Cricetulus griseus: one gene and its partners. The protein of the gene in region 4 interacts with the protein of the main gene of each other region in a pairwise test. Links are inferred from orthologs where the notes say so. Each region holds a gene or a part of one and is shown on either strand. Other genes may lie near its edges.

What was found.
Region 1: the proteins of Hmg20a (region 4) and Scnm1 interact in binary tests that used the Homo sapiens proteins (3 or more experiments, as listed by UniProt). The two-hybrid records come from large-scale screens. The link is inferred for Cricetulus griseus from reciprocal best matches to the Homo sapiens genes HMG20A and SCNM1.
Region 2: the proteins of Hmg20a (region 4) and Rpp30 interact in binary tests that used the Homo sapiens proteins (3 or more experiments, as listed by UniProt). The two-hybrid records come from large-scale screens. The link is inferred for Cricetulus griseus from reciprocal best matches to the Homo sapiens genes HMG20A and RPP30.
Region 3: the proteins of Hmg20a (region 4) and Dtnb interact in binary tests that used the Homo sapiens proteins (3 or more experiments, as listed by UniProt). The two-hybrid records come from large-scale screens. The link is inferred for Cricetulus griseus from reciprocal best matches to the Homo sapiens genes HMG20A and DTNB.
Region 5: the proteins of Hmg20a (region 4) and Ccdc136 interact in binary tests that used the Homo sapiens proteins (3 or more experiments, as listed by UniProt). The two-hybrid records come from large-scale screens. The link is inferred for Cricetulus griseus from reciprocal best matches to the Homo sapiens genes HMG20A and CCDC136.
Region 6: the proteins of Hmg20a (region 4) and Hpcal1 interact in binary tests that used the Homo sapiens proteins (3 or more experiments, as listed by UniProt). The two-hybrid records come from large-scale screens. The link is inferred for Cricetulus griseus from reciprocal best matches to the Homo sapiens genes HMG20A and HPCAL1.
Region 7: the proteins of Hmg20a (region 4) and Brap interact in a two-hybrid assay, tested with the Homo sapiens proteins (2 studies listed by BioGRID and IntAct). The link is inferred for Cricetulus griseus from reciprocal best matches to the Homo sapiens genes HMG20A and BRAP.

The regions. Positions count from the first base shown.
Region 1 is NW_023276806.1:61,367,091-61,371,377, reverse strand, and holds the start of Scnm1 (sodium channel modifier 1), read right to left. Parts: upstream 2,801-4,287; 5' UTR 2,685-2,800; coding exon 2,634-2,684; intron 2,249-2,633; coding exon 2,178-2,248; intron 1,939-2,177; coding exon 1,850-1,938; intron 1,753-1,849; coding exon 1,658-1,752; intron 1,558-1,657; coding exon 1,469-1,557; intron 123-1,468; coding exon 1-122. Other genes in the region: Lysmd1 (lysM and putative peptidoglycan-binding domain-containing protein 1), read left to right, coding at 2,922-3,034, 3,586-3,781. UniProt on the Homo sapiens protein: As a component of the minor spliceosome, involved in the splicing of U12-type introns in pre-mRNAs. Plays a role in the regulation of primary cilia length and Hedgehog signaling.
Region 2 is NC_048596.1:25,691,145-25,695,322, forward strand, and holds the start of Rpp30 (ribonuclease P protein subunit p30), read right to left. Parts: upstream 2,801-4,178; 5' UTR 2,735-2,800; coding exon 2,653-2,734; intron 1,428-2,652; coding exon 1,372-1,427; intron 1-1,371. UniProt on the Homo sapiens protein: Component of ribonuclease P, a ribonucleoprotein complex that generates mature tRNA molecules by cleaving their 5'-ends. Also a component of the MRP ribonuclease complex, which cleaves pre-rRNA sequences.
Region 3 is NC_048600.1:14,662,214-14,664,530, reverse strand, and holds the end of Dtnb (dystrobrevin beta), read right to left. Parts: coding exon 2,094-2,317; 3' UTR 501-2,093; downstream 1-500.
Region 4 is NC_048597.1:167,992,512-167,996,011, reverse strand, and holds part of Hmg20a (high mobility group protein 20A), read right to left. Parts: intron 1,254-3,500; coding exon 1,178-1,253; intron 641-1,177; coding exon 425-640; intron 1-424. UniProt on the Homo sapiens protein: Plays a role in neuronal differentiation as chromatin-associated protein. Acts as inhibitor of HMG20B. Overcomes the repressive effects of the neuronal silencer REST and induces the activation of neuronal-specific genes.
Region 5 is NW_023276806.1:198,417,705-198,421,204, forward strand, and holds part of Ccdc136 (coiled-coil domain-containing protein 136), read right to left. Parts: intron 3,316-3,500; coding exon 3,070-3,315; intron 2,986-3,069; coding exon 2,911-2,985; intron 1-2,910. UniProt on the Homo sapiens protein: May play a role in acrosome formation in spermatogenesis and in fertilization.
Region 6 is NC_048600.1:26,723,585-26,725,759, reverse strand, and holds part of Hpcal1 (hippocalcin-like protein 1), read left to right. Parts: intron 1-435; coding exon 436-541; intron 542-2,175. UniProt on the Homo sapiens protein: May be involved in the calcium-dependent regulation of rhodopsin phosphorylation.
Region 7 is NC_048597.1:101,540,755-101,544,056, forward strand, and holds the end of Brap (BRCA1-associated protein), read left to right. Parts: intron 1-802; coding exon 803-1,160; 3' UTR 1,161-2,802; downstream 2,803-3,302. UniProt on the Homo sapiens protein: Negatively regulates MAP kinase activation by limiting the formation of Raf/MEK complexes probably by inactivation of the KSR1 scaffold protein.

The DNA of each region.
Region 1 (4,287 bases), on a different chromosome or scaffold from region 4:
ATGACTCTTTGGCATGTGATCCTGCCTTAGTCTCAGGTTCCCTACTGATCTTTGCACTCTGGAGTCCAACCTCTGGGGCAGGCAAAGGAGAACTGGAGACAGAGGGAGCAGGAGCCTCTGGTCTGGGGAGAAAAGAAACCAAGCCTGTTAAATGCACAGAAGGAAAGTAGCAGCTTCCCCGTGCCTCCCAAGCCTGAAGAGCAGTGTTTCCTAAACTGAGTTCCTGAGTTTTTTGTTTTTTTTTTTTTTCTTTTCCTCGGTTTTTTGAGACAAGGTTTCTCTGTGGCTTTGGAGGCTGTTGGAACTAGCTCTTGTAGATCAGGCTGGTTTAGAACTCACAGAGATCTGCCTACCTCTGCCTCCCAGAGTGCTGGGACTAAAGGCGTGAGCCACCACTGCCTGGCTAGTTCCTGAGGTTTTTTTGTTTGCTTTTTTGGAGATAGAGTACATATGATGGACCTGGAATTTACTAGGTAGATGAGGCTGTCCTTAAATTTACAGAGATCCACTTGCCTCTGCCTCCTAAGTACTGGGATTAAAAGTGTATACCACCACACCCAGCTTGAGTTCCATAAGATCTTAAATATTTTACATATGAAAGATTTTGGAATTAGGAACTTGAGAAAAGCCAGCTTAATAGTTCTACGCTTTTGCCTCAAGATTTTCCATAACCAGGTATGGTGGTACACACTTTTAGTACCTGCAGCACTTAAGGGGCAGAGAAAGGCAGATCTCTGTAAGTTTGAGGCCACCCTGGTCTAAATAGCAGGGTTCCAGGACAGCCAGGGCTACAAAGGGAGATCCCCTCTCAATAACAAACAAAAAAGTGTACCACTATGCCCAGATTATGTTACTTTTTTTTTTTTTTCCTCTGTAGCCCCGGCTGGCCTGGAACTCAGAGACCCACTGGCCTTGCTTCTGGAGTGCCAGGATTAAAGGCGTGTGCCACCATCCAGCAATAATGTTACTATTTTTTTGTGTGTGTGTGCATTATTTTGTTTTTCAAGGCAGGGTTTTTGTTTGTTTGGTGTAGACTTGGCTGTCCTGGAACTCACTCTATAGATCAGAGATCTACTTGCCTTGTCTCCGGAGTGCTGGGATTAAAGTGTGAGCCACCAACACCCGGCTAAAATTTATTTTAAAATCACAAACTATCACCAGGCGATGGTGTCCCACGCCTTTAATTGCAGTACTCAGGAGGCAGAGGCAGGGGGATCTCTGTGAGTTCGAGGCCAGCCTGGTCACCAGAGCAAGTGCCAGGATAGGCTCCAAAGCTACAGAGAGAAACTCTTGTCTTGAAAAACCAAAACAAAAAACAAAAACAAAACAAACCACAAACTATCATTTTTCTTTAAACAACATCTCCACAAGATTAGTGTTTCTCAGAGTACAGTTTGGAGAGCAGTAACTTCAGAACCATCTATTTCCTTCTACCCTTTCCCACTTCCGGATTTCCCCCTCTACAGACCTGTGCTTCCTCCGGCAGCAACTGCTATAGTGAGGAGCTCTGTGCAGAGCACTCTGGGTGATTAATCGAGTCTGGGTTAGCAAAGGTGCCTGGTTATCAAGAGAAGAAGACACAGTTGGAGATGTTAGGCAAAAGTCCTGTTGCATGCAGTACAGCCCTGCCTGAACAACACCTGACCAGATCTCTCACCTCGGCTTTGCTTTCTGTCTTCAATTCATTTTGCTGTCTTGGTTTTTGCTCTGTTTTCTTGCCTGATTGCTTTTTGCCATAGAAGAGCTTCAAACCTGAAAAGGAAAGCAAGCACAACATCAAGTAGACTGACAAAATGTTCAGAGTGTATTCTCTATCATTCCTCCACTCCCCGCCTTCTCCTGTACTTACTGGATAGGTGCTTCTTGCCTGCACGGTGGGCAGTCAGCATGGCCAGCGTGTCCAGGACTGGTCGATGGGGGCAGATAGCGCAAGCAAAGCTAGGGAAAAGAGAAGTGAATGGCAAACCCGTATGTGTTGGAGAGCCGGTGGTTGGGGTGTTCCTACTTAGGGGCTATGCCTGTCAAAGCACTCCACCAACGCCCAGGTCTCCCGATCGCCACCTCTTCCAATCTTCACTTCCAACCAAAGGATCTATTACACTCCTGATCTCCTTAGAAACCAAAGTCTGTTGAGCCTCTGATAGCAAATCCCCAGGCTTGATCCACTCTGCTCTCACCGTCCATCCCGCAGCATTAGCGCCTCATCCTCTGGGATGTAACTGGCCAGCAAGTCTCCAACTCTTCGTTTCTGCAGAGAGCAGGACAGGAGAAACGAATATGAGGGATGGATGAAAAGAAATAACAGGGATAAAGAGTCAAATGGAGCAGACCATAGGGTAAGAAGGAGGAGGCATCACTCAGTTCTGGCCCCCGAAACCCCCTCCCACAGATGTCGCCAGAGCAACAAAACAATGCAAAGCGCGACTGAAGCTGGGCTCTCCCTCTCTCTAGTTCTTTGATTTTTCGAGACAGGGTTTCTTCGTGTAGCCTTGACTGTTCTAGAGCTGGCTGTGTGGACCAGGCTGGCCTCGAACCTCAAACGCAACACGGACACACCGGCTTTTGCCTCGCAAGTGCTGGGATTCAAAGCGTGCGCCACCACTGCTCGTGGGTAGACTCTCACTAGGGCTTACTTTGAGCACATTGAGCTGACTCCAGTCGTCACCTTCCCTCTTGAAAGACATCACGACTGTGAGTCTTAGAAATAATAAATTCTCCTACGCCTACTTTGCCTCTCCTTCGGGCCACCGTAGGAAGAGTAGGTTATCGCCTTCCCTGCTTCCGGTCTTTTTCTGATTAAGTCTTTACTTCCGGGGATGCGTTTCCACGCATGCACCGCGCGAGCCGGAAGACCCGCCTCCAGAGCCCTGAGGGTGCCTGCATTTCCTATGATGCCCTGAGAACGCTTTGCCTTTTGGGAAATGAAGTCTTTTAGTTATTTTCTTTTTTTTGTTGTTTTTAAAAGACCTCACCGCTCACCTGAGTACAGGCACTCACATCGCGAAGGACCCAGGTGTTTGGAGACCAAGAACCTGTACGTGGAGCCGGAGTTTCAGGGTGGGACCCTCCTGGCGTGGAGCGAGGCTTCGGGGATCTCAGTGGACCGTGTACTGCAAACTCTCTCAGTCCCCAGGCTCACCGTCCACAGCCACGATCTACCTGGGGTGGGCCTGATTTGGAGCAGAGAGGATGTGGGGGCTCCCGGCGGCCCGGCTGCGGGACGTGGGGACACACTGAGGGGAGAGTGTTGATGAGGGTGTCTAGGGTTCAAAGGTCAGAGATCAGGCTTGCAAGGAGTTGGGGAGAGGGCGTCGAAAGTCGAAGGGGTCGGCGACCGACCACTCAGGGAAGATATTTATGGGCAAGGGTCTTGAGGAAGGAGAAATGTAACCGGCCTGGCAGCCTTCTTAGGGTACGGACTGTGACCCCAAGCTCGGTAAGCAGCAGCAAGAGGAGCATTGATGTAGTCTCTCGAGAGCGGGGACACTAAAGAGAGAAGTGAGAAGGAATTCCTAGAATATCTATCCATTCCTGGGGTTCGGCCCTCACTGTTGGTCACTTAGCTTTCCTCAGTTGTGACCCTAGATCTTGGCATCTTGAGATGGCTTCTCCCTCTAGACAGCCCCCACTTGGGGGGTCAGGGCTGCTGCATGGGAGCCGTGCTCGTTCTTATGGAAGCCTGGTACAATCATCGTGCTCCCCGGTGAGGGAAAGACGCTTGGAGCATCAGTTGGAGCCTGGAGACACCCTGGCTGGACTAGCACTCAAATACGGGGTGACGGTGAGTCTTCCAAGGATTGTGGTGTGGTGACCATTCAGGAGAGATTTAGTGCCCAGGAGAAACTGGGTGGTCTGCTAAGCGGCCTTCCCTGATGTTATATTAATTATATTGTGGTCTCTGCTTTGTCTTATTTTGTTTACACCTCTCAGGGTAGCACTATCCACACTCACAGACCTGCCCTACTATCCCAGTGGGAGGAGCAGCTCCTTGGATTGGGTTGGATGCCGGGATAGGGTGGTGGTTGGGGTGTGGTTTATAGCCATTAACCTATTTGGATCTTGTGCCCCTATCACCGTGAGACTCACCGTGAGACTCACCGTGAGACTCACCGTGAGACTCACCGTGAGACTCACCGTGAGACTCACCGTGAGACGTAAGACGGATAACCAGTTTGATCAAGGTCAAATAACTTTGAGTGTCAGAGTAAGGTTTCAGATAGGTCTGTCTGACTCTAAGTCCCCTACTATTAGCCACGAACAAAAAAACTAAAAGTGAGTAAACATTTA
Region 2 (4,178 bases), on a different chromosome or scaffold from region 4:
CCAGGACAGCCTCCAAAGCCACAGAGAAACCCTGTCTCGGAAAAATAAATAAATAAATAAATAAATAAATAAATGGGAAAAAAATCAGTAAATGAGTTAATAAGACCATGGTAACAAGATATCGTGGTTATAGCTCATTTAACAGCAATGTAATTTTAAACATCTTTGAATTTGTATGATATATATTAGTTCAGTTATTACTGTAAAAGAGTAAGCATAGGGTGTTTTTAAAGAAGTATAGTTGAGGGTTGGGGATGCAGCCCAGTGAGTAGAGAGGGTGGAGACACAGTGTTGCAAGGTATTTGATTACATTGTGTAAAGATATGTCACTGTGTTTTAATAAATATTAAATGACCAACAGCTATGTAGAAGGTATAGGTGGGACTTCTGGACAGAGAGAACTCTGGGAAGAAGGGGGAGTCACAGCTGGACTCAGAAGAAGCATGACGTGTAGGAGGAGAGGTAAAAACCATAAACTACATGGCAGCACGATGATTAACAGAAATGGGTTAAGTCATAAGAGCTAGTTAGAAACAACCCTCAGCTAAGGCCAAGTTTTCATAATAAGAAGTCTCACTATTTGGGAGCTAGCAGTACAGAGAAGACTTGCCACATGGCAGCTCAGTAAGTAGAGGTAGAGTGATTTCTAAAATGCACACCACCTTGCCTTCTACCCCTGCATCTCATAAACTGGGCATGGGCTTGTAATCTTAGCAGGAGGTCTTCGTTGGCAACACAGTTGAATTCCAGGCCAGATTGGGACACATAAGATTCTGTCTCAAAACGCAAACATGCTTGTGATGACTTATGCTTCACTACCAATTTTACTGGACTTAGAAATGATGATGGAAACACACCTCTGTATTTCTATAATGGTGTTTCCATAAAGGGTTAACCCAGGAGGGAAGACCCACCCTGAATGCAAACTGAGCTATTTCATGGGTTGGAGTTCTAAGGGAACTAACTAAAAAGGAGAAAGTGAGCTGAGCCCCAGCATTCATCTCCTGCTTCCTGACCGAGGAGGAACTGTGACTAGCCACTTCATGCTCCTGCTGCCATACCTTCAAAGTATAAGAAAATAAACTCCTCCTTCCTTGTGTTGTTTTTGTTAAGTATGTGGTCATTGCAACAAGTCCACATTTCTAGTTCCTTATTCCCAACACAAATACAAATATTTGTAAATGTTGTTTTTGATATTTTTTTCTGGGATAGGGTTTCTCTGTGTAGCTTTGTAGACCAGACTGGCCTTGAACTCAGAGATCTGCCTGCCTCTGCCTCTGGAGTGCTGGGATTAAAGGCGTGTGCCACCACTGCTGGGCTTGTAAAGTCTTAATATTTATTTACTAATTAATCAGAGAAATCTTATTTTACCTGTTTCTTTTCCTTAAAGTCAACAATATGATTGATGGCAACAACTGAATATCCAACTGAAAAAAAAATAGATTATTTAAAAAATATTCTTTCTTGTTCAAGAGTATGAGATGAGGTTAGGGATGTAGCTAAGTGTTAGAATGCTTGCTTAGCATACACAAAGCCCTGGATTCTGTTTCTAGACTTGGAAAGTAAGAGGGTTTAATAATATTTACTGTTATGTTTCAGGTTGTTCATCTGTCAAGTGATGTTAACAGCAGACAGCACTTCAGAGTGTCATGAAAATTAAGCATTTTAGAAGAGTGCCAGGCACATATTTAGGCTGTGATTTATGCTAGCAAAACACTAAAAACACCTTGTTTCTGCTTTCCAAACAATATTCTCAGGATTTCCTGCCCCTTTGTTCATTTTTATTCCATCAAGTTTATGTGTCTTTCCGTCACCTTCATTATCATTCATTTCTTCTGCGATGCTCTATTTCCTCCCTTACCCGAAGGTGCAATGGAAGGACGAATCCCTTACACCTCTTTTGAGGTGCTCTACAGTAAAAGACAGGGAAAACGACGGTTTGCCTTATCCTCACAACAGTTAGCACTGCTTGGAAAAGTGCCTCTGTCGCCAACACATCTAAATCACGACTCTTGTCTTTAAGTTGTCTAAAGACCAACAAGATGATAGAGTATTAATATAAAAGATAGTGCATGGTAATGGCAAACTAGTCTAATAACTCCCGAGTTCAAGCTATTAGAGCATCCATTATTTGACAGACCCTATGGCAGGCGACAGCACACATGATTAATGCTCATCCCCAAGGAACTTAAAACTCGGGAGAAATAAGGTAACACCCTCCCCATTCTCTAAGAGTCCACAGCAGTTCCTGCCTGCGACCCAGCTTTCTGTATTTGTCAGATGTCGTCGGGGCCCAAAAGGACTGACGTTAAAAGCACCCACCGGCTTAGGGGACTGTACACCTGGAGTCCAGTCCCAGAGCCTACCATTCATCAGCTCACAGCCCCCTTGCCAACACCTCGACCCCTTTGGCCTCTGTTCTCTCCCTCCGCACGGAAAGACTGTGCAAGCCCAGGCAACGGCAGCTTCCTCAGTAGCCTGTGAGTTTCACACGCCAGGGATCCGGGAGACATAGCAACTACCATTTGCCTCTAGGGAAATGCCGCAATCCCACGAGAGACCCAATAATAGGGCCTGGAAAAACTACCAAGCAAACCGGTGGTATGGGGGCAGCGAGGGGCCGGGCTCGCGGGGCGAAGCCAGTAGACTCACGGTGAGCAGCGGTCTCCACCAGTCCCCGAAGAGCCTTCAAGTCCGAGCCCGCTCTTAGGTCCAAATCTGCGAACGCCGCCATGCTGACGTCCCAGGAGCACCCGCGCGCCAATCTGCGCAGTCGCCCTGTTATTCCTCGAGCATGCTGGGAGTTGTAGGCTGTCACTTTGGCATCCTGGGATTTGTGGTTTTTCCCTTCTCAGTCGTCTACTCTCTGCACAGTATTTCCTGTCCTCTAGAAACCAGCCAAAGTTAGTGTGCTCGAACCTACAGCCTCACTTACTCCCTTTTTGTCGTGATTTGAACGAGAATGTTTGGTAGACACAGTAGGGTCTTTCCCCCCGCCCCTCTCGCCAATACAACAGAGTAGAAAGTGATTCATTCTAAACACACCCATAGAGCATTTTGAGATCAAGCAGACGTCTAAGGTCGTGAAGCCCTGTTCCAAGAGCTGGGTGAGCCTGGGGTGGTGGCCCACGCCTTCAGTTCCAGCAATTGGAGGGCTGAGGCAACTCTATGAGTTTGAGGCCATCCTGATCTACACGGTGACATCCAGGCCAGAGAGGGATACATAAGTCTCCAAAGTAGGTAAGTTGATAAGCACATGAAGAGACATGGGAAAATGTTTTTCTTTCCTTTCTCTAATGTCCATTCCATTCTTTGAAAATGGGCTTAAAAGCCTCTTTGAAGCGCTTGCTCTGGGGCGGATTGTTTTAGTTCTTTGGGCTAAGCCTAAGATAATGGGTCTCTGTTATAGAAACATCTACAACCACAAGATGGCAGGGCACTCTCAAAGATGAAAGCTTAGCGACAATACACAAATTTTCATGAGACATATTGCAATATCATTTGATGTTTCTACTTTAAAAATTAACTTTTGAATATTGGCAGATCAATTATCCGACGGCATAAAATGCTGGCATTCTTTTTAATCCACTTGATGCAGAAGGGCAGTTCTTTACTCCTTTCCATTCTGTCTCTGGCTGGCTAGCATGGGAATCCTTTATGCATTACCAATAAGCTGCCCCAGCCTCCTGCAGCTCAGTAATATGATATCTGAACTGCTGGGTTCTCAAATAAGAAAAGTCTATCGATCAGTAGGACTTGACCATTAGGACAATAACGAAGTGCTGAAAAGGTTTAGAAACATTTCAATTTCTGTACTGATTGCAAACAGTATGAGGACTTCCCCTCTGATCACACTTTGAGTAATACTCTTCAACATAATGGTCTCTAATTTCTTACTGATTTTTGAGAGAATATTTATTATTATTATTATTGTTATTTTGAAACAGGTTATTGTTAGTAGCCCAGGGTGGGCTCAAATTCACAATCTTCTTGTCTCAGAATCCCGAGCGTTGGGATCACAGCTGTGCTTTGCCACACCTAGCTTTGGTTAATTTACATAAAGAAAAAAATTGTTGTTTTGTTTGGTATTTCCCCCAAACAAAACAACAGCAAAACAACTTCTGCCACTAGAGCAAAGTCATACAAAACAAACCACTGGCTTTTCAACAGAATGTCTA
Region 3 (2,317 bases), on a different chromosome or scaffold from region 4:
GGGTGTTCTCTCTGAATTGGGACCTTGGAAACCAGGTCACATCTTGCCAGGTATGGCCAATTAGGAAAACAGACAATCATGTCATATATGATACATGTTGAAGGGATTGGGTAAAATCTACTCAGAAAGGAGAAAACTTGAGAGTTAACACATTATTTACCACCCACCACTCAAAAGGTGGCCTGGAGAGGAAGTCTGGACTTAGGGCAGCTTTAGGCAGGCAACAACCCACGACAGAAAGGGAGATTTTAGCTCCCTAATAAGGAAGAAATCTCCAGTGATTAGAGCTGGCTGTGAATGAGCTCCCTGGAAATAGTCAGACTGGAGGCTTTTACTATGACAGCAAATTCAATGAAAATATTTTTGAAGGATGAGGAAGACAAACTATAGATGTGTGCCTTGTGAGTGCTGTGGGAAGTGTCTGAAAATTCAACCTGGATATCCACTCCCAACAAAAGCCCGTGAAGCCGCTTTCAAAGAAGACGTCAACATGCACTGTATTGGGCAGGACTCTCCCATTCACTGAGGGATAGGATTTATTCTGTGTTTAACAAGGGTACTGGGTGGATCCTGTGTGCATTCATCTGTGTCAGACGATAGGCTTCTGTGCTTGGGATAGGGGCCTCGCAGAACCTGCCTTGTTGTCTGTCCTGGGTCAGCTCAGAGTCTGGCATCATGTTTCTCTACACCCAAGCTCTAGAACTAGCTTTGCCTCTGCATGCAATGTGATCTCAAACAAATTAACTTTTCTGAAAAACCCCTCACCACATTTCTAAAATAAGGCTGGACAACAGGATCACTAACATACCTTCTAAATGACACAATTTTATTAAAACCAACTTTTCATATTAATTGATGTTCTCTCGTCCTCCTCCCACCATATAACCTTTGACTTCTTCATAAGCCTCCCAAGTACGGGGGATTGCAGGCATGCAATACCATGACTGACTCAGTTTTCTGTCAATCAAATTACATTCTCATTCTTGAGTACTGAGCTCGTGAGCCACTTGCTTTGCATAAACTCTAACTGTACTTCATCTGCATGTCCTAAAAATCCCTAAGAAACTCCCTCTAAAACTGTAAGTGAAGTCTATTAGGGAAGTATATTAGAGTAAGGGTATTCAAATCAGCTGTGAGGTCTTCCTGAGGTTACCCCTCACCCCTACACCCTGCTTTGTGCATGTTCAGTGAGGGCTGGGCTTCGGTGTGGGCATGAGAAATAGGATGAAAGAGGGTGAGGGCATCATATTGCCTGTGGCAGGACAGGTGACTGACCTGAGCTGGGAAAGCCAATCAGGCCACAGGTGTAATCTCTTCTGAAGAAAACACATGGACTTGAGGGCTGAGGTGTGGAAAGGATGACAGCCCTAAAGGAGATGCTTTCCCCTGCTGCAAACATCCTGGGCTTCCCTTTCACGAGAGTGTCTGAACGGCCCTGGAAACACTGCTCTGTGCTTTTGCTTGACAGCTCTGTAAGCCACTGCAGAGCACTCACAAGCAATGTTTGGGTAACTAAGACAGAGATGGGCCTTCGGTGTAAATGATGCAGCTCTCAAAGGATGCCATAGCTAGAAAATAATCCCTAAGCTCCGAGTGGCCATGTCACTGATGGAGCTGGCAAGTACTTGGAGATATGGTGGTTTTGTCCTTTCTCTCTTTCCCAGGTTTCATGTAAGAGGAAAACACTGTGAAGCAGAGAACTCTGGGAAGCCACTACACTGGCTGAGTCATGGAGGGAAGGAGAAAGAAGTCAAGAAGGACCAAACATGAAGAACAGAGGGAGCTGCAGCTGGGACCTTCAGGTCAGATCAGAGCCTGGTCATGGACAAAAGGAGAAGACAAGAGTTTCAAAACAGAATCAAACAGCAGGAAGCCAGAGGGCGGCTGGAAGAGAGATAGGTGGATTGGTGCTGACTGCTGCCACATCCAGGATAGCTTCAGAATGAGGCGATGGCCAGCCTAGGGAAAGAGCCACTGTGGACAAAGTGTAGGTGGAGACAGTGAGGGGAGGCTTTGGCTGCACTGAAGAGCAGACTTTGCTTCAAGTTGGAATTGTGTCTGCTCCTTCAGACTGTTCTTAATACAAACTGTGATCACATGTGGGAGGGAGGCACTGGGTGAAGCTCCTGTGTGTTCCTAGAAGGGAGAATGGACTGGAAAGAAGCGCCGTGTGCCTGGTGGCAGGAGAGGGCAGGCACAGAGGGGCACAGAGGGGAGGCGGAGACCGGTGGGGAGCTCTGGGTTTCACCTGAATGGAGCTCCTTCACCAGAGATGACATGGTATTGGTGATGGAGTCGGCAGCCACCAGCAGATCGT
Region 4 (3,500 bases):
TTCTATAATATGTCTCACTGAAAAAAAATCCTTTTTTTTTTTTTTTGAGACAGGGTCTCACTATGAAGTCCTAGGTATCCTGGAACTCACTATGTAGACAGGGCTGGCATAAAACTCACACATATCCTCCTGCCTCTGCCTCCCAAGTGTTAGGATTAGAGGTGCCCTGCCTTTCTATTGATGCTTGGGTGGCAGAGGCAGACATCTCTGAATTCAAAGCAAGCCTGGTCTATATAGAGTGAGTTCCAGAACAGCCAGGGCTGTTACACAGAGAACCCCCTGTCTGGAGGGGGAAATAAAAAGAAAGTCTCAATAAGGACAACCTGCCCCCGCTTTCCTCTTGGGACTCCCAATAAACAGCACCCCATCCCCACCCCGGCCCACTATCCCCGTCACGGAAAGAGTGTGGAGAGGATGACTTTACCAGGCAAGGGCATGCTGGCAAAGCTGCTGGTCAGCATCTGTCGCAGGGTCTCTAGGTGCTGCTGAAGGACAGTGTTCCGGCTCCTCTCCTGAATCACATCCACCTCTAGCTTCTCTACTGCTGTGCGCATGCTCTCCACGTGCTTTTGTAGGGCTGCATTCCTTTCTTCAAACTCCATGTTGGATTTACGAAGCTGTCGCAGCTCTGCCTCACGAGCTGAGAACACATGCCCCCCAGAATACATGTGGTAAGAGAAGGCGCCTCTGAGGAGTCTCGGTAACCCTCCTAAGGAAGTTCTTTCTAGCTGTCTCTCATTAGCTCCCTCCTCATCTCCCAATTCTCTTTATGACACTCCAGATAGCAATTTCAACAATGAAACGCCTGGCTCCCCAGAGCTATTTTAATTCTTAAAGCAACACATTCTATACAGAAGATTGCAACAAACAGTGGCAATTCCCAGCATTTTGTTAAAATTTGCTTTTAAAATTGTGCAGTGAGAAGCCTGAAGATCCTCACAGGGGTATCGAGGAAGAATGGCTAAGCACAGCTATGGATACCCATCTGTCCTGCAATGGAATCAGCTTTGTAATTTCTTTTCTTTTACTTTCTTTTTAAAAAACAGACATTCTTTGTAACAGAGTCCTCTCCAGTCCTAAGGAGGGCTATCAGTCAGTGCTTTTGAGCAATGAACCCCCGAGAGCTAAATCCCCTGTCAAAGATCCAAGGTACACACAAAAACACTGCAGTGATCACCTTTGCTGTGGTTCAGGAATTCTTCTGTAAATATAGGGATGTCAAAAACAGAGCGTTCCTTTACCTCTGTTTCTTTCTATGAATCAAGAACAAAAGTTAGTTCTCAGAAGTTAAATAGACAATAGTGCCCAAAGCATAAGGATCACATCTTCCTTGGAGAAACAGTGAGCAGAAGTCAGACCAGGAGAGCCTGGGAGGGGATGTATTCACTTATTAGAATGAACTTCACAGAACTGGAGCACTTAGTATCAGATCTCTTAGGTATATGACTGCAAGGTAGTGAAAGACTTTAAACAAATCCACATGCATTTCACTAATGAAGACAACAGAAGCCTGTTCCTAGCATTGGGCTTTGAATAGTCTACAATACAGAGTTGTAAATGTGGCTGGGTCAGGAATTGAAAGAGGGTGTTTTAGTTGTTCTTATTGGTTATGCATTTAAAGCACTATATAAGATGGGAGTATGCAATCAAAATTTGCTGAATGGAGAACAGAAATTCTAAGCAGAGATCTGCTAGTAATGAACAATAATGCTGGCATTCTGTTGGTACTTCTATCTATTTATGAAGGAGTAGTTTATCTTTGGGGCTCCTGTAGACTTTTCTTCAGACACAGGAAAAACAAATCCAAGAAGCCAGAAATAATCAGGCTCTTCCAATAAGAAATCCAAGGATTATGTGAGACAGAAAAGAAAACAAAGCCCCAATTAATCCACCTATAAACCATTAAGATAAAAACCATCATAAACTACTGTAAAATATTTCCAGCCATGAGCTTTAAGAACAGAGCCAAGGGGCTGGAGAGATGGTTCAGTGGTTAAGAGCACTGGCTACATTTCCAGAGGGCCTAGGTTCAATTCTCAACACTCACATGGCAGCTCAAAACTGTCTGTAACTCCTGTTCAGAGGATCCGACACCCTCACATAGACATACATGCAGGCAAAACATCAATGTACATAAATAAAAGTAAATAAAAAATTAAAAATAACAACAACAAAAGAACAGAGCCAATATTTCAACTTTCTTTGGCTGACATTTCTGTAATGAATTTGAAGTTGAAAGTATAATGAATATAAGCTATAGATGTTTTTTATATGTACAACATAAAGAGAAGAGTAGAAAGTGAGGACACTATTGTGAAATCTGAAGATTCCAAAACCTCTCAATAAGAAAGCAGTAAAGAAAAGACCCAGAATTCATTTCTATAAAAACATGTTAAGGTAAGAGTTAATGTATAAAATGAAGGATAAAATGTATCCTTTTGCCAGGTGTGGTGCCTCTGGTGGATTTCTGAGTTTCAGGCCAGTTGGGGTTTTATACCCTGTCTAAAAAATACCAAAAAATACCCCCCCCCCAAATGGTTTCTACTTGTTACCACTAACTTTTATCTTTGAATAAAGAAACGACTTGATGCCCAATAGAAAAGCTAAGCATTTCAGTTGTGAGGAAATCTGAGAGCAGGGATCCCATCTCCCATTGGTGTTTGCTAGGAAGGGGACGGACTGGAGGAACTGCCTATTGCTTGGAACAGATCAAGATAGGCATTTAAGATGGGAAACTGTGGTTCACATGGGTAATCACAGCACTTGTGAGATCTCTCTAAAAAAATGGATGGAAATCTGTAAAATTATGTGTTTACTTGAGGAACATTTCATTTTAGAGTGCTTAATTTTTACCACATTCTTTTGTTTTCCTTATGGAGAAAGCAACTTTTCCTAGAACAATGTAAAAATAAACAGCAGGGTTACCATCAAAAGTGCCACACTGTGACAAGCACACCTCTCCCCCAAGCAGGTCCCAGTGGATTCCAATGAGGACTAAATGTATGGTCAACAGAGACTGGTTCCGAAAAGGATCTTAGGCACATTTCCAGTAGCTGTCTATAGACTTCCGGCTTACAGTATATTTTAACTTTATTACCTGGTTGTGACAAGAAACTCATCAAACACAGTCCCAACATGCACACAGTACCATAGGTCCAATTCTAAATCTACAAGTGACTTAGAGCACAGCCTTGTAACTTTAGTTCTCTTACCTTGTTTAATTTCCTACTCAGCTGCACAGTGACCTCACCATGGGTCTCAGTGTTTGACATTCAGAATGATAAGGGATGCTTGGCTCCCATAACCAGGGCACAAAAGGCTTTTCTCAAGGTCTTTACTCTCCCCAGAATGGTAATTCCATTCTATTCCTTGCCAGAACAGTCCAAACCAACTCATTATGTAAGGGCAGAGGCTAGCAGCAGCCAGGTACAATATCCACTGCCCCTTGGTACAGATTCTTAAGAGTACAAAATAAGAAACATTAAAGCAATTAAACGACA
Region 5 (3,500 bases), on a different chromosome or scaffold from region 4:
CCCGGGAGTCATGGGCATCTAGCAACAGCTCCTTTCCCTTTTCAGATTTTCAGACTTCGCCATACTGGGAAGGAGAAGAATGTTCCTTTCGAAGCAAGGGCTAATACTTGGCTCAATTTCACCGTATAAACAAGATCAAGGGCTCCTTAGAAGACAAGCCCTCTCCCCTGACCCCGCTTCTCTCTCTGTCCCTATTCCTCTTTAAAACGGTCATCGCCATGATCTGTGCTCAGTTCTCCGTTTGACCTCCTGTTTTCTCTCCAGTTCCAATCCAGTCTGCGCTGTCTCCCGGTTCTCCATCTTGCCAACTCCAGGGGCCACCTCACCTGCCTTCGCAGAAGCATTTCTGTCTACTCTTGGCTTTCAGGGCAGAATGGACTTAGGTGTTCCTTCTATCACCATTTCCTTTGTAAGGTCCTCCTGTCTTGGGCCTTTCCCCTCTGGCATCTCCTGGTGTGACTGAATGCCCATCTCCCATAGATTATAATGCACGTTAAAAACTACTAAGTCAGGGGCTGGAGAGATGGCTCAGCAGTTAAGAGCACTGGCTGATCTTCTAGAGGTCATGAGTTCAATTCCCAGCAACCACATGGTGGCTCACAACCATCTCTAGTGGGATCTGATGCCCTCTTCTGGCATAAAGGTGTACATGCAGATGCAATACTCATACATAAAATAATTTTTTTTAAGTTGAGGTTTGAATTAAAAAAAAAAATACCAAATCTCATTTCCAGGCCTTGTTTCTTCCCTAGTTGTGGATTCATACACCCAAATGCTTTCTTCACATACTCATTTGGTCATCAAACTCACCCAGTAAAAAACTCTTAAATGGTTTCCCTAGTCCCCAAACTTGTTTCTTGCCAACCTTTTCCATGCCTATTAGATATCACTATTTAGGGCTGGAGAGATAACTCAGAGGTTAAGAGCACTACTGCTCTTCCAGAGTTCCTGAGTTCAATTCCCAGCACCCACATGGTGGCTCCCAACCATCTGTTATGAGATCTGGTGCCCTCTTTTGGTGTGCAGATATACATGGAAGCAGACTGTTGTATACAGAATCAATAAATAAAATCTTAAAAAAAAAAGATATCACTATTTACCCGTTTTCCCTGGGTAAACTCATGAAGGTTCCACCTTCAAAACATATTCTGAGCCATCTCCATTTCTACTGCCTTAGTTCAAGAAAACAATTGGTTAAATGAACTACTAGCATACTTGACTCCCTCCTCCTCCTCCCCCTGCATTCCAAAGGACTCTTTTGGAGGGTTAGGGATGTTGCTCGGTCGTAGAACACTTGACAGTGGAGGAAAAAGGCAAAGCTAAACTAAAAATGTAAACCTTATCAGTGACTGCAGCCTTGGAAAATGCATCCTGTAGTCTCTACCTCACCTACAATGAAACCCAGCCCTGTCAGCTGACCTAAAAGGCCTCTTGTAACCTGACCTCTGCCTTCTCTTGGAACTTTCTCTTACCAGAGTCGTTCACAAGCACTTCACAATGACCTTGGTTCTGTCCCCCCAACACATGACGCTCATTCCCATCTCAGGTCCTTCTGCCCACTGGGTCCTTCCATCAGATCTTTGAATGTCTGGGTCGTTCCCATTACTCAACTTAAGTGCCATCTTCTTAAAGGCTTGTCAAAGGCATCTATGTAAAATGGACTCCTATCTCATTCCCGACCACATATCACAGGTCTACACTGAGTTCATATATGCATTGCCTTTATTGCCAACTGAACTTGTTTATGTTTTCCTTTAGAATTACTTTTAAAAAAATGAAACAGGGTCTCATGAAGCCCAGATAGCCTTGCACTCACTATGAAGCCTTGGATGGCATCAAATTCCTGATTCTCCTGCCTTTATTTCCCACATACTGGGATTACAGGCCTACGCCACCCAGCCCAGCTTTGGAATCTACTCTTTAGGGATTTGGTCAACTGTGTTCTTTGTTGGTCCTTTAAATATAATGGATCTCAACAAATAGTTGACAGACAAATGAGTTAACCCATTTTACAGACAAGAAACTTGAGACTCACAGGGATAAAAGTGACCTGCCCAAGGTTAGCAAAAATTTGTACACGATAAAGCTAAGCCCAAGAGCTCAGATATTATGAAAACAACACCCACGCTCCCTCCCTCCCAGTGCTCTGCATCTCTGCCATTTCTCTTCTCTTTGCCATTTTTCCTGTGTCTCCCCTTGCTTACATCTTGTACCCTTCTTTTCTGCTCCTCCTCTTATACACTCGCTTGCTCTCACCAGGACGGCTTCCAGACCTTTTTTCCTCCATTTATACTTTCCATTTGGCTTGATCTCAGCTCTCTCTACAGAGTCCCTGCTGTTTTCTAGGGCAGATCCTCAAAACCTTCCGGAAGCCCACAGAAGTAACAAAAGCTCCCTCTTTATTTGGTAGTGCAGTGGAATTTGGGACGCTTGCCTTCCTGATTTCTGAGACAAAGGGACACAGGCTTTGGAAGAGAGGATGGGGGGGGCAAACTCATGTTCTTATGTTTCCTTCAAAGACACATGGAGTGTCCTCCAGTCTCATCCCGCTGGCTCCCTGTTCGCTCCTATGGCCCCCTTGGAGGAACCAGAAAAAGAAATATAGCCTAGAACTCCATCTTGATCATCCACCCCTGGCCCTGGATTGGGAGAACAAAGTATACAGGGATGTAGGGAGCGGGGAGAGGTTGGGAAGAGAAAAAGGTGTCAAGAGAGAGGAGGTGAGGACTGCCATGTAGAAATGCAAAGATAGGAAATGAAGGCAAGAAGAGAACCTGGGAGGGGCGGGGCAGGGAGAAGAGAAAGGGGTGAGAAAAGAAAGAATAGAGAGGAGAGAAAGAGACCAAGGTACTGAGTTAGGTTTGTTTGATTAGGGTGGCCAGTGTCTGTCTAGACTTGGGGGGCAGTTACCTTGGAGCTGCTGAATCTGCTTGGTGAATACTTCTGCCTGCTGGGCACTGGCCAGCCGCTCATCCTCCAGGAGCCCTGAAGTGAGAGGGACATCTGGTTTGGAACCAGGGAAACACAGAGCCTTTGGGCCATGCCCCCTGCCCTGTCACATATGCTCACCCTGAAGCTCCAGGGAGTCATCCTCATGCTGTCCAGCAAGCTCACGTGTCTCCTCTAGCTCTGCCACCAGCTGGAGCACCTGAGCCCTCAGTTCCTCCAGCTCTGTCTCTGTGAGGCTCAGGCCCCGGTGCTTGCTCATGGACAGGGAAGCCAAACTGCTTCCTTTCTGCACTTGCTCTTCTTCGGCCTCTTCCTCTTCCTCCTCCTCCTCTTCCTCCTCATACAGAGCTGGAAGTAGCACCTCCCCTAGGAGAGACAACCATCCCACCGGAGAGTCAATGGCCATTTCCCTCAACAGTCCTTCCAGAGTCCTGCATCTTACCACCCGGGGACTGGATAGTAGAAGAGTGCCACCCAGTGTCCTCTCAGGATCCCCTGGGCTGGACCTAACTCACAGTGAGGCACTGGTGGGTCGGACTTGGAAGTACCCT
Region 6 (2,175 bases), on a different chromosome or scaffold from region 4:
ATATTGTGTTATTTGGGAATAAGAAAAAGTCTATACCTCCAGTAATATTTCTTTTTCTAGAATATTTCCCATCTGCAGTTGGTTGAATCTGCAGATTCAGGACCCCACAGGTAGGCAGGTCTTACTGTATCTGCCCCTGCGACCTCCCCCCTCAGCATTCCTAGCCCCCCCCAAATCCTTTACACCTTTCAGACACTATCCCCACCCACTCCCAGCCATGAGTCTGTTACTCTACCATCCCAGCGGAGCTCTTAAATATCACCTAACTTTTTCCAGCTCCCTTTGCCCACATCTCATCTGCGAAATTTGTTCTGATAAGAGAAGGGCTCTGACACAGATAGGGAGCACTCTGCCCTGTCTGCTTCCTGGTGGGCTAAGGTAGAACCATCACACATCCTCTGTCCTCTGAGCACACTCATGAATGCTACTTTGCAGGCCATCTACAAGATGGTGTCCTCTGTGATGAAAATGCCTGAAGATGAGTCCACACCGGAGAAACGAACGGACAAGATCTTCAGGCAGATGGACACAAACAATGATGGTAGGACATGGGGGGAGAGGGGATGTTTGTGTGGAACTGTTGATAGCACAGATGTGTTTGGGATATGCACTCTGCAGCCCTGGCCCTGCCCCTTCCTCTCCCACCTGATTCAGCTATGCTGAAGGAAGACTGGAATTCAGGGTCAGGGACACCTACCCTGCACCCTGTGCCCTCCCTATGGCTTTAGGACCATGGGCATGTCACTACCCCCTCTGAGCTGTAGACTTCATCCATGTTGTCTTGGTTAGGGTCACTATTGCTGTGATGAAACGCCATGACCAAAAGCAACGTGGAGAGAAAAGGCTATATTTGGCTTACACTTCCATATAGCAGATCATCAAAGGATTCAAGACAGGAACCTGGAGACAGGAGCTGATGCAGAGACCATGGAGCGAGGCTGCTTACTGGCTTGCTCCTCATGGCTTGTTCAGCCTGCTTTCTTATAGAACCCAGGACCAGCAGCCCGGGGTGGCTCCACCCACAATAGGCTGGGCCCTCCCCCCCCCCATCACTAATTAAGAAAATGACCTACTGGCCAGGCATGGTGGTGCATGCCTTTCATCCCAGCATTTAGAAGGCAGAGACAATCGGATCTGAGTTTGAGACCAGGCTGGTCTATAAAGTGAGTTCCAGGACAGCCAGGGCTATTACACAGAGAAACTCCAGACTCGAAAAATCAAAAAAAGAAAATGTCCTACAAAGTTGCATACAGACATATCTTATCGAGGCACTTTCTCAACTGAGGCTCCCTCCTCTCTGATAACCATAGCTTGTGTCAAGTTGACATGAAACTAGCCAGCCCACATATTAACGGCGATAGTGGTTTTACTATTTTCACAGGTATTTTTAGGGAGGGAAGGCAAGTATACTGTTGGCCTGAGAGGTGAGAAGTAAGAGGACTGAATCAAAGGGCTTTTGAGTCATGGGATCCTGAGAAGCTGGCCAGGCTTCTCTTGCCATCACCCTGAGATGTGAGGCGCTCCACATACTTATGGCAGTCAGGCATGGAAGCCTCATCTGTCTGTGGCCATTGTACCCAGGACTCTGAGGTTCTACCATGGCTGCAAAACGGCAGGTCTCAGGTGGAGGACAGGTGGTGAGAGGTTCATGAAGGTATTCCCTATGTCCTCCTTTGCCTCAAATGTGAGTTTCTTGCAGGACCCCAGCAAGGGTGAGGTAGCCTCGTGCCATGACTTGATTCTGCCTGTCTGTCTGTGACTTTGTAGAGCCAAGACTGATTGGCTTTTGTTCCACCAAGAAATGCACCATTAAGGGGGAAAAAGGCTCCCTGGGTTGTGCTGAGATTAAATGTACGCTAATGCACAAGAAAGTGCCGTGAGGAGCCTCAAGTGCTGTGCGCAGGTGAGCTAAGGACGGAGCTCAGCAGGACACGAGGTTCTCGTGGAACTGTAGACAACAAAAAGCTTTCCAGACAGCAAGGAAGTGCCTTTCAAAACATGTTCACACACAAAGCAAGACAGCCTCTTGCCTGGTGCTGCCTTTGGGCCGACTTCAAAAGCATTCTTCGCTCTCGTGTGTGTCATGACTCCAAAGCTTTGATTCCAGCGCACTACGTTGAGGCTTGGCCATTTCCCAGGCTTGGCTTTCTTCTCCATGAAATGGGGAGAAACCCA
Region 7 (3,302 bases), about 66 Mb from region 4:
TGTCTTCCTTTATTGTTCCTTATCTTGGTTGTTTTGTTTTTGAGACAGTGTCTCACTATATAGCCCTGTCTGGCCTAAAATTCACTATGCAGAACAGGCTGGCCTGGAACTCACAAAGATCTGCACTAACCTCTGCCTTCTGAGTGCTGGGTTTAAAGATGTGTGCCACAACACCAAGCTTTGGTTTGGTCTTTGGGATGGACTCTCATGCTATAGCCCTGACTTCTTTTTATTTATTTATTTATTTGTTTTATGTTCATTGGTGTTTTGCCTGCAAGGGTGATGGACCCCTGGAGCTAGAGTTACAGACAGTCACAAGCTACCATGTAGGTGCTGGGAATTGAACCCCCAGTCCTCTGGAAGAGCAGCCAGTGCTCTTAAACCATTGAGCCATCTCTCCACCGTCTATAACCCTGAATTTAAACATTGTTCCTGCCTCAGCTTCCTGAGTGCTAGGATTACAGGTTGGAACCACCATACCTGGGTGCTTTGTCCTTCTGATATATAAAAATGGTCCCTGCTGTAGTGTTTTGATTTGTAATTCTCCATTCAGGAGTGAGCATTGATGGTAGAGCACCCACACTCTTGACCCCTTTCCCTCCTTTAGCAATTCATGAGGTCAGAGCACTTATCTCAGAGGATGCGCTTCCCTGGTGGCTTCCTCATCATGGCCATGTCTCTGACAGAGTTTCTGCTGCTGAGCTCGGCAGGGAGGCGCCTACCCTAATGGCATCTAAGCTCCAGGAGCAGACAGGGCCATGGAGCTGGTAAATTATCTCTGTCTCCCTCTGTTTTGCTCAAGGTGCACTCAGCTGAACACCAGAGTGGCCAAACTCAGCACGGAGCTGCAGGAAGAGCAGGAGCTGAACAAGTGTCTCCGTGCCAACCAGCTGCTGCTGCAGAACAAGCTGAAGGAAGAGGAGAGGCTGCTGAAGGAGACCTGTGACCAGAAGGACCTTCAAATCACGGAGATCCAGGAGCAGCTGCGTGATGTCATGTTCTACCTGGAGACACAGCAGCAGATCAGCCACCTGCCTGCAGAGACTCGGCAAGAGATCCAAGAAGGGCAGATCAACATCCCCTCAGCCCCCAACCCGCCCTCTTCAGGGGCCGGTGGGAAGCTGCCATCCAGGAAGGGCCGTAGCAAGAGGGGCAAGTGACCTTGAGAGACTTGTCCCTGAGACTTCCTGGGCACTGCAGGGTGTGCTGGGACCTTTGCTGAGTGGGAGGGTGGGCCCTAATAAGTATGCCTGAGGACGAACTGCGGTCGTGTGGCTCCTTCATTTGTTGTGTGTGGTGTGAGGAGACTGAAAGAGGATGGCACTGGCAGCGCTTCCCCGGGTGGTGAGTCTCAGACCTCAGACACTCATGGCCACTCTGCCCTCCAGCTGGGTGGATCCCAGGCTTCTGTGTTCTTCCGTTGTATTTATTCAGTTGGAGCGCTTAGAATTTGAATTCTGGGGTAGGTTTATGACATGATGTGACCTCAGAGGCAGCATTACCTAGCACTAAAGCACAGCACCTCTCAGGGGTCCCAGCTGCCTTCAGGAGAGGGGCCTGCTGCCCACTGCAGAGCAATCACCTCTCTTGCCATCCCTCCCTTCCCTGGTGGAGTTGAAGAGCTGCTTGAATGTCGCAGAAAAGAGGCACAGGCTTGTCCTCAGCATCCATCTAACCTGGCTTGAGGGCCAAAAAAACAAGGAACTGGGTCAGATGGAGTAGACCCAATGTAGGGAAGATGGTGACAGCTCTATATTTGAGGTAACTGAGAATATCCTCCATCTAGCAGGAGTCAGCAAGGGGCAAGCCTGGAGAGAAGTCCTGACAAGCTATGTGTGACCAGTCACACCAGTCAGTGGATATTTACTGGTCACAGGCTGGGCTCATGTTCAGGTCACAGCTAGGGGGAGCATGGGCAGATTTTCAGTTTTGCTTTTAGGATTTAAGCAAAGGCTGCTTCTCACTCCAGAACCTGGCTGCCGCAGAGCCCCTTTCAAACAGCCATATGATACTTAAACTGTGACCAACAGAGGGGTTGTTTGTGCCTCTCTACAACCAGGAACATCAGATAACTAGTAGAATAGTAGTTGAACAGAATTGAGGGGACACCATGTTGGGATTGATTTGGCTTCTAGAAGAGCTTGGGCAGTTAGGGTAGCAGTGTGTAGTGCATTTTAATTTTCTGCTTTATCATCAGCCAAAGGTTTGAAATGTCACACTTTAAGACTTTTTTTTCCCTGATTGGACCTCATCCTTTGACCTGAATGTCTGATGTGTTGTCACAACATTGCTTGTGTTGCTGATCCTGTGCAGTTCTGTGGAATGTGCTCTGGCATTTCCCAAAACCCCACCTGTAACTGCAGAATGAGTGTACTCAGACCCACATGTTTCTTCCTGAGGGTAGACCAGCACTCCAGATCCGAAGCCTGAGCCACACAGGCACCTGCAGTCAGGGCAGGAGCAGACCCGCCTCTCACTGAGCTTCTTTATCTAGAACGCATTTTACACTGTTACAACCCTGGTCTCAGCCCCACTAGTCTTGTACATCTGACCTTGCAGAAGCTGGGATGGGTGGTAACATGCTAATTAAGAGAATTGGAGTAGTAGACAAAGCTGGCTCCTCATTTCATTAAAACCCACCCAGCAGCCCTGCAGCACTTCATAGCATAGGTCTGGGAAGGCTGTGGCCAGAGGAAGCAGCAGATGGGCAGAGGTTTCCAAACTACTTGAAGGTCTTAAAAAAATGTTCCAGGAAAGCAAAAATCAAGATGTGTAAATAAAATGTTATTTTAAAAGGTCAAAGAGTTATGTTTCGATCTGACATTTGTACAGGATGGAAGCTGTTAGTGTGTTCTTCAGAACAAAGATGAAGCACTTCACTTTCCCACGCTCCCTTGGCCGATGAACTCTTACAAAAATAGCCAGAAATTATTTCTTCCCTATGTGAAATTTGCATCTATGATATTGCTTGGGAGCATACATCTAAGAGTGCCAATGGCCTGCTTTGTTTGTTTGTTTTTCATGACAGGGTTTCTCTGTGTAGGCCTGGCTGTCCTGGAACTCACTGTGAGATCCATGTGTGTTTGCCCCACTATGCCCACCTGTGCTGAACCACCACACCTAGCCTTCATTTTGTAATGATACTCCTTCTTGAGTCTCTGGACATGGTTCCTAACAGACCTCAGGCTTCATTCCTGAGAGCTATATTGCTGACCCAACAAATTCCTCACTGGAATTACCTGGGAAAATGTGGCTTTTGTACTTGGCACAGAGCTGCTCTGCTGCAGATAGCATTTGTTACT